2 linked regions of the Saccharomyces cerevisiae S288C genome follow. Changing the gene in region 2 together with the main gene of any one other region gives a genetic interaction. Each region holds a gene or a part of one and is shown on either strand. Other genes may lie near its edges.

Region 1 (3,783 bases), on a different chromosome or scaffold from region 2:
GAAGGGTCTCTTCCAGAATGGAATACTTTTATTTGAGGGATTGTAGTACCTTCTGGGCTCAGATTGTTCGTCTAAAAGCAGGTATTGAACAGCTATCATCTTGCGCTCAAATTTAAATTCGAGGGAATCGTAGTCAATGTTCTTTGTACTTCTCAGAAAGAGTGGACAGTATTTTCCCATTTTGCTTTCAAACCAGTTCTGTGGCCTGTCAAGGTACTGTTGCATGTATGAAGGAACTACAGTAGTCAACGTGTGGTTAGACTGGGAAAATTCCGCTGCGGACCCGACGCTGCAGCTTATATTTTGATTGCGGGGAGCAGGAGCGCAGGCATCTTGTTTAGATTTTTGGCTTGGATAATGTTTGTGGTGATCAGTGGAATTTATTGGGCAGTAAATTTCAGTTGGAATGATAGATTCATTCGTCTCTTTTGTTCTGGAGTCCTTGGTGCGGCGGAAATCAAAGCAAGTCACTTCTGCGTTAAGCGATGCGAAATTGCCGTCTGGAAATGACGATATGTGGGGAGAATGAGGAGGATTCCATGACGAATAAACTGATGAGGATGTGCTAACAGATGAGGTTAGTGAGGGTACCGATTCGTTGTTTTCTGACGCAGAGTCTGTTGTGGGAGATGTGGTAGCGTTATTTCTTTGCACAAGAGAAGGTGGGAGCATAGCACGGTTGTGGGAGGAGGAAGAAAGCATTACGTTGCAACTATCATTTACGGAGTGGGATAAGAGGTAGGAGGTTGTCATAGCGGTGCTTTCTTCCTGGTGCATGGCAGAAGACGTTGGCAGTAATTCGTTTATTATGGTGACATTGTCGTGATTAGAAAGGACTGTCTCTTTTACCATTGCCTCGGGTATGTTTTTTGACGCTTGCCCTGAACTTACTCCAGAGCAAGCCTCAGTAGAAGAATGACCGGAATGATTCCTCTTATACACGTTCCAGAGCGGAGCATTCTTGACATCATAAAAAAAGTTGCTGACAGGATCTTTGGACTGGTTGACGTTAAGTGGTTCCGTAGCTGGTCTGATGTTTTCTTGTACGGTATCACTGACGGCTGAGAAACCTTCAGAGGAACCGCTTTCGGGAACAGACTTGGAGGATTGCAAATTAAGCCATTGAAAGTCTAGCCCAACCTTGTTGCAAAAGGCCTTGAACTCCTGGAAAGATGTAGACATTATGTGGGCGAAAAACAAAATTAGACCAACGCTTTAGCAAATTTTTTCAACCTCAAATTGATATTTGAAGATTAGATCGGATGGTTTTTTTTCCTGTGGTGTAGGCCAAGCTTAAACAAGGTTTTAAGTGAAAGTGGAAATAATTGTGATAAACATGCGGAAAGAGTGCCAGCCTTAAATAATTCCGCATTGTTGCTATGTCGTTTTGTTTTTGTTTTTGTTTTCGTCTTATTGGTATTTGTTCATTTTACGACCACAAAGGATCCAGGGCTTCTACTTGCACAGGGAGGGTTGCTTGGTTAATACAATACAAACGTCAGAGATATTAAGATTTGTAAAGGGTGCATTCAATGAGTTTTTCCTCAATGTGCCCTAGAAAGGAAGTAGTACGAACATTTCTCAGTCGGAGTTTGCCGGAAATTCGAATGACAGTGTAAGTTGAGTTTTGTGGCACAGGGATAATGAGCGGTGGTGCTGGCACACAGTAGTGACGTTGGTTTGGTAGTGTGGAGGGACGGTGGAAAACAGATAACAGTGGTCTCTTGGCCCAGTTGGTTAAGGCACCGTGCTAATAACGCGGGGATCAGCGGTTCGATCCCGCTAGAGACCATTCTTTTTTTTTGCATTGGCAATGTGATTTATAAAAGTTTTCTTAGTCCAGATTGTAAAAATGTTAGATGGGACTACAGTGCACGTACGCAGTCATTAGGACATAGGCACTGGCTCGTCTTACTGTGTAAATAAAAACTACTTAAGTTCGAGAATCTCAAATTAACTTCTAGAGCATGGCTAGTTATTCTTTAGTTGAATCGAATTCTTTCGGGTCAGAAAATTGGTGTCTTAAGTTACAGCCTAGTTATAAACATGGTCTTTTAACTGGATTAAGTAATGGCGAAATACGTTTGCTAGACTGGAGTACTGGTAAATCAGTACAAAAGATTAAGGCGAGCGAAACTGCAATCAATGATATGAAGGTCATCGGTAGCGACTTCTCTGCTGGTCATCTAGTTAGTAGCGCCTCTATCGACGCGGTGAAAGTTTTCGATATAAGGACGAATGACCGCATTGCTCAAATTCAAAACGAGGCCAACTCCCCCTTTATTTCCTTAGATTCTCGTCATGGTCTATTGGCCTGTGGTACCGAATTGCAGGGAATTGACGCTGCTGTATACATATATGATATTCGCAAATGGGACACTCCATTGAGATCATTAATTGACTCTCACCATGATGACGTTACCTGTATTAAATTTCATCCTTCTGACGTCAATATTTTGCTCAGTGGTTCAACTGATGGTTACACGAACATTTATGACTTGAAACAAGATGAGGAGGAGGACGCTTTACACCAAGTTATTAATTATGCGTCAATACATTCCTGTGGATGGTTGTCCCCAAAGAGGATATTTACACTATCACATATGGAAACATTTGCAATTCACGAATTGAACGACAAATCTGACGAATTGAAAGAGCCACAACCCTTGGACTTTGGTGATGTAAGAGAAATATGGAACTGTGACTACGTGGTAGATATTTACCCTGGACTCATTGCAACCGGTAAAACCCAAGAAAATTGTGGAGAGTTGTGCCTCCTACCATTTAAAGATGAGAAGGTGGATACTGAAAACGGTATTGTTATCCCACACGCCCATGGAGACGAGGTCGTCAGAGATATTTTTATACCAGCACAACATAGCAACATGTTATACTCCTGTGGTGAAGATGGTTGCGTTAAAATTTGGGAAAACAAACAGGGGCCGTTAGATATTCCAGAAAATTTTTGGGATTACTCTAAAAAAATGAACGTCTTAGGAGATGACGACAGAGAAGGTTCCATTAATTTAGACGAACCTCTTATTATTCAAAAAGAATCGGTTTCCACGAGGCCAAGGAAGGAGAAACACAAGAAAGCCAAGAAACATTCCATGAAAAGTCGTTTCAAACCATACTAGTTTCATAAAGACAATACATCTAAAGAGATGCCTAACATCTGCAAGAGATTTCGGCAGAACTACTCTATAACTTAAAAAACGAAGCATACATTCCAAACAAGTTGATACTTCTAGATCATAGTTTATCTTCATAGGGCTTCTTTTGTTGGTACAATGTTATAACAACTATATTTCTGCTATATAGAGTATTAATGCATTTTTTTTTTTTATCTCCAGCATTAAACGTGCACGCTTCTATAAGGTGGAAAAAAAATACTAGAAAAGGAATAAGTGAAACACCACGTTGATGGTGAAAAAATATAAAGGGGCGAGCTGGGAATTGAACCCAGGGCCTCTCGCATGCTTTGTCTTCCTGTTTAGGCAGGAAGTCGCCCAAAGCGAGAATCATACCACTAGACCACACGCCCGATTATTTTATGGTGATTTCTGTCTCACAGGAAATTGTTATCAAAGGATAAATAGCATATTTGTCTTAAAGAAGGTTTTATAAATAGACATGCAGAATGTACTTATCAGTGGTATTGGAATGTGTTGGAATAAAAATCAACTATCATCTACTAACTAGTATTTACGTTACTAGTATATTATCATATACGGTGTTAGAAGATGACGCAAATGATGAGAAATAGTCATCTAAATTAGTGGA
Region 2 (4,244 bases):
CTGCACATAAAAGTAATCAAAAACCAAGTCATTCAGATGAACAGTTTGATCAGGAAGATCACATTGATGCCCCTAGGAGTAATTCATCAAGAAAAAGCGACTCGAGCTTTATGTCTCTTAGGAGACAAAGTTCTAAACAACACAAATTATTAAACGAAGAAGAAGATCTAATCAAGCCTGATGATATTTCTTCCGCTGGTACCAAGGATATTGAAGGGCATAGCTTACTGGAAAATTATGCGCCTAATATGATTCTCTCCCAGTCGACTGGAGTTGAACGTAGATTTGAAAATTCATCATCCATCCAAAATTCGCTTGGGAATGAAATTCATGACTCGGGTGAGCATATGGCTTCAGGTGATACTTTTAATGAACTGGATGATGGCAAATTGCGCAAGAGCAAGAAAAATGGTGGAAGATCTCAACTTGGCCAAAATATACCGAACTCTCAGTCTACTTTCCCCACCATTGCTAACATCGGTAGTAAAGATAATAATGTACCACAGCACAACTTTTCGACCTCCATATCGAGTTTAACCAATAATTTGAGGAGAGCTGCTCCTGAAAGCTTCCATGGTTCAAGAATGAATAATATTTTTCACAAGAAAGGTAATCAGAATCTACTTCTGAGATCCAACGATCTCAACAAAAATTCTGCAGCCCCGGCCTCTCCATTGTCCAACGAACATATTACATCTAGTACGAACTCCGGTAGCGATGCAAACAGACAATCCAACTCAGGTGCCAAATTTAATAGCTTCGCCCAGTTCCTTAAATCAGATGGGATTGATGCAGAATCAAGAACACAAAGAAAATTATGGTTGCAGAGGGAGAATTCTATTATGGACTTAAGTTCACAAAATGACGGTAGTGACTCTATCTTTATGGCAGGAAACATTGATGCGAAAAGGGAGTTTGAGAGAATATCCCATGAATACTCTAATGTAAAAAGATTTTACAACCCATTAGATGAAGCATTGTTGAGAGTACAACCTATAATAACGGGAAATGCAAATAATATCAGGAAAAAAAGCCATAACGATGCTCAGTCAATCGCACATTCTAGCAGTGATACAGATCATAAGGATGAGGACGATTTGCTCTTTACTAACTATGACAAAAAATTTGATGATCTTTATCCACATCTTGCAAGTGCAAAGATTCAGGCAGTGTTGTCCGGTATATGGAAAAGCGAAAGTTACTTATTTAACAAGGATGTTAATCCAATCAACAAGAATAGGACAACGAGTACAAACCACAGCGTTGGCCACACTGCTTCACAGAATGCACGTAACTTGCTGAGGGGCCCGATGGGTTCCAGCACGACTTTGCACCACCAACGCGTCATTAACTCTCTGCAGCCGACTACGAGGGCAGTGAATCGCAGGATGGAAAATGTGGGCTACATGCATACACAGCCACAACAAAGGTGAAAACAACCAACACGAAGCACACAGTTTAAAAGAGTAGCTAATGCTTTCGAGGTAAAACGCGAAGTTCGTAGAGAGCGAATATGTTTGGACACTTAAGGAACATACTATGTTTATGCACTATAAAAGGACATGTACTTCTATACGAGCTAACGAGGCGTATTTGTATAACCCGGTTAACGTAATAAATGATAAATTATCGAACAAAAAGAAAGAAAAACGTTGAATGCAACCACCGCAAATTTAGCGATTTCGCTGGATTCCGTATCTCTTAAAAAATGGCATTAGTAAATATACCTTAAACGTGTCTATTCTTTTAGCAATTTTTTGGTAAGTATTCCTCACGGACTATAAATACTATCGGTCAGAATCACTACATTCAAATTAATCTTGTTTTACCGAGTCTCTGACGTTTCATTTACAAGCTTGTCCTTACAAAAAACCTATTTTATTACTTTAGTCCATTTTCCTTTCAAGTTAGATATTGTTTTCCCTTCACTTATATTCTATTTATGAGAAGAAGCCCGTCCAGATCAAATAATAACTTTGCAGTACCGAATTGCTCAACTAATTCAAACTCTAGTCAGCAACAATTAACTACACCTTCAGATGATCTCAACAGTAACGAACCTAATGACCCAGATGATAGTAGGTCTCTACCTACTATCAAGAAATTCAATAATAAACATTCTATAAACAATTACAACACTTTAGCATCGGCCGGGAAAAACAACAACAATAAACGAGCTAGCAATGATAATTTGCTCATTCCTGGTGAGAATGCCCATAAACAGAAAATATACACTAAGGATGAAAACTTGAAGAGCTTGTACCTAGATATCGATGTTTCTGTCGCTAAAGCCCTATCCTCATCAGCAACTGCTCCGAAGCTGATCAATACCGCAAGAACTTCCTCTACTACCACTGCCACTACCTCAAATAATATCCTGACATCACCCTCTTATCGTGAATCAAATTATTCTTCTCCATCCTCATATTCTTTTTCCTCCTACTACTCATCCGCTACGTCTGCTTCCTCATCAACCTCATCATTTTTAAAATCTTCAGGGTTATCGTCCAGAGTTAAGTCTCCTTCATCTTCGGTTAAGGCAGGTTCTTTTGGTGCGCCTTCGTCCCCAACATCTGGGATACCTAATCCTAAAAGTAGCAAGAAGCCTATATTTTTGAGACGGTATTCTCATGATACCTCTTCAAATGAAGGTCTTGATATCGATGTTGCGATCGAAAAATTACTACAAGTGGGTGAGTCAAGAGAAATTACAAAAACGTCCAAAAAAAAGAACTTTCCATTCCATTCTTGGGAAATTCAACTCATTTGCTATCATGCAAGAGAAATTTTTTTGAATCAACCTACTCTTTTGAGATTACAAGCGCCTATCAAAGTTGTCGGTGATGTTCATGGACAATTTAATGATTTATTGAGAATTTTGAAGTTGTCTGGTGTGCCATCTGATACTAATTATCTGTTCTTGGGTGATTATGTGGACCGTGGTAAGAACTCATTGGAAACAATACTATTGTTATTATGTTACAAAATAAAGTACAAAGACAACTTTTTTATGTTAAGGGGTAATCACGAATCTGCTAATGTCACAAAGATGTACGGTTTCTATGATGAATGCAAAAGGCGATTGAGCTCGAAAGTATGGAAAATGTTCGTTGACGTATTTAATACTTTGCCATTAGCAGCAATTATTCAAGATAAGATCTTTTGCGTTCATGGAGGTATATCGCCCGATTTACATGACATGAAGCAAATCGAAAAAGTCGCAAGACCAACGGATATTCCTGAAAGCGGGCTGGTTACAGACTTACTGTGGAGTGACCCAGACCCTCAAGTAACTGATTGGTCAGAAAATGATCGTGGTGTTTCATACACATTTTCTAAGAGGAACGTTCTTGATTTTTGTGCTAAGTTTAAATTCGATTTAATACTTAGGGGACATATGGTCGTAGAAGATGGTTATGAATTCTTTGCCAGGAAAAAGTTTGTCACAATCTTTTCAGCACCAAATTATTGTGGAGAATTTCATAATTGGGGGGCAGTAATGAGCGTTACAACGGGTATGATGTGTAGCTTTGAACTGTTAAAGCCGCGTGCATTGAAAAATAAAAAGAAGTTATACAAAACCAAAGTGTAGCTGTTGCTAAGATTGGTTTTGCCTGGAAAGCACATTGGTTTTTAGGCCTCTTATCCTTCATTTGGAAACTTTTTGTCCTATGATTTGTTTTTTTCATTTTATTTTTCATTTTATTTTTCATTTTATTTTCATTTAGTTAACATTATTATGCAGTTATTTTTTTTTTTCCCACCTTCATGGCCTCGTTTATGTCTTTTATCAATATATTTTTTACGTTTATAAGTCATTTACTCGACTTTTTTTACCTTTGATATGCAATCATATTATTCTTCCCTCCATTATGGCTAAATAAATGATAATTATAATCTATAGTTTTCAAGCGTTCATATTTTGACAGATAAGATTATGCAACAACTTGGAAGGGCGGAAGGAAGCAAAAAGAAAACTCCGATACGGGGAGTCGAACCCCGGTCTCCACGGTGAAAGCGTGATGTGATAGCCGTTACACTATATCGGACAATAATTGGACAGAAAATTTTGTTAAAGTGTCAGCCTAATCGGCGTAATACGTATATATGTATATTATCTGCATATTATTACGATAATATACAACAAAACGGATTAAAACAATCGGTATATTTCAATTTGATATTTGGGATAAGGTAAAATAAAAACCGAAGATCAGTAAGCTCTTGTTACTTTTTTGTTGGAA

What was found.
Region 1: mutations in PPQ1 (region 2) and YNL035C together harm fitness more than expected from each alone (negative genetic interaction), as found in Saccharomyces cerevisiae (one large-scale study listed by BioGRID).

What each region holds. Positions count from the first base shown.
Region 1 is NC_001146.8:567,876-571,658, reverse strand, and holds YNL035C (uncharacterized protein), read left to right. Parts: upstream 1-1,967; coding exon 1,968-3,137; downstream 3,138-3,783. Other genes in the region: YNL034W (uncharacterized protein), read right to left, coding at 1-1,182.
Region 2 is NC_001148.4:206,215-210,458, forward strand, and holds PPQ1 (protein-serine/threonine phosphatase), read left to right. Parts: upstream 1-1,942; coding exon 1,943-3,592; downstream 3,593-4,244. Other genes in the region: TCO89 (Tco89p), read left to right, coding at 1-1,433. UniProt on the Saccharomyces cerevisiae protein: Phosphatase involved in the regulation of protein synthesis. Affects translational accuracy.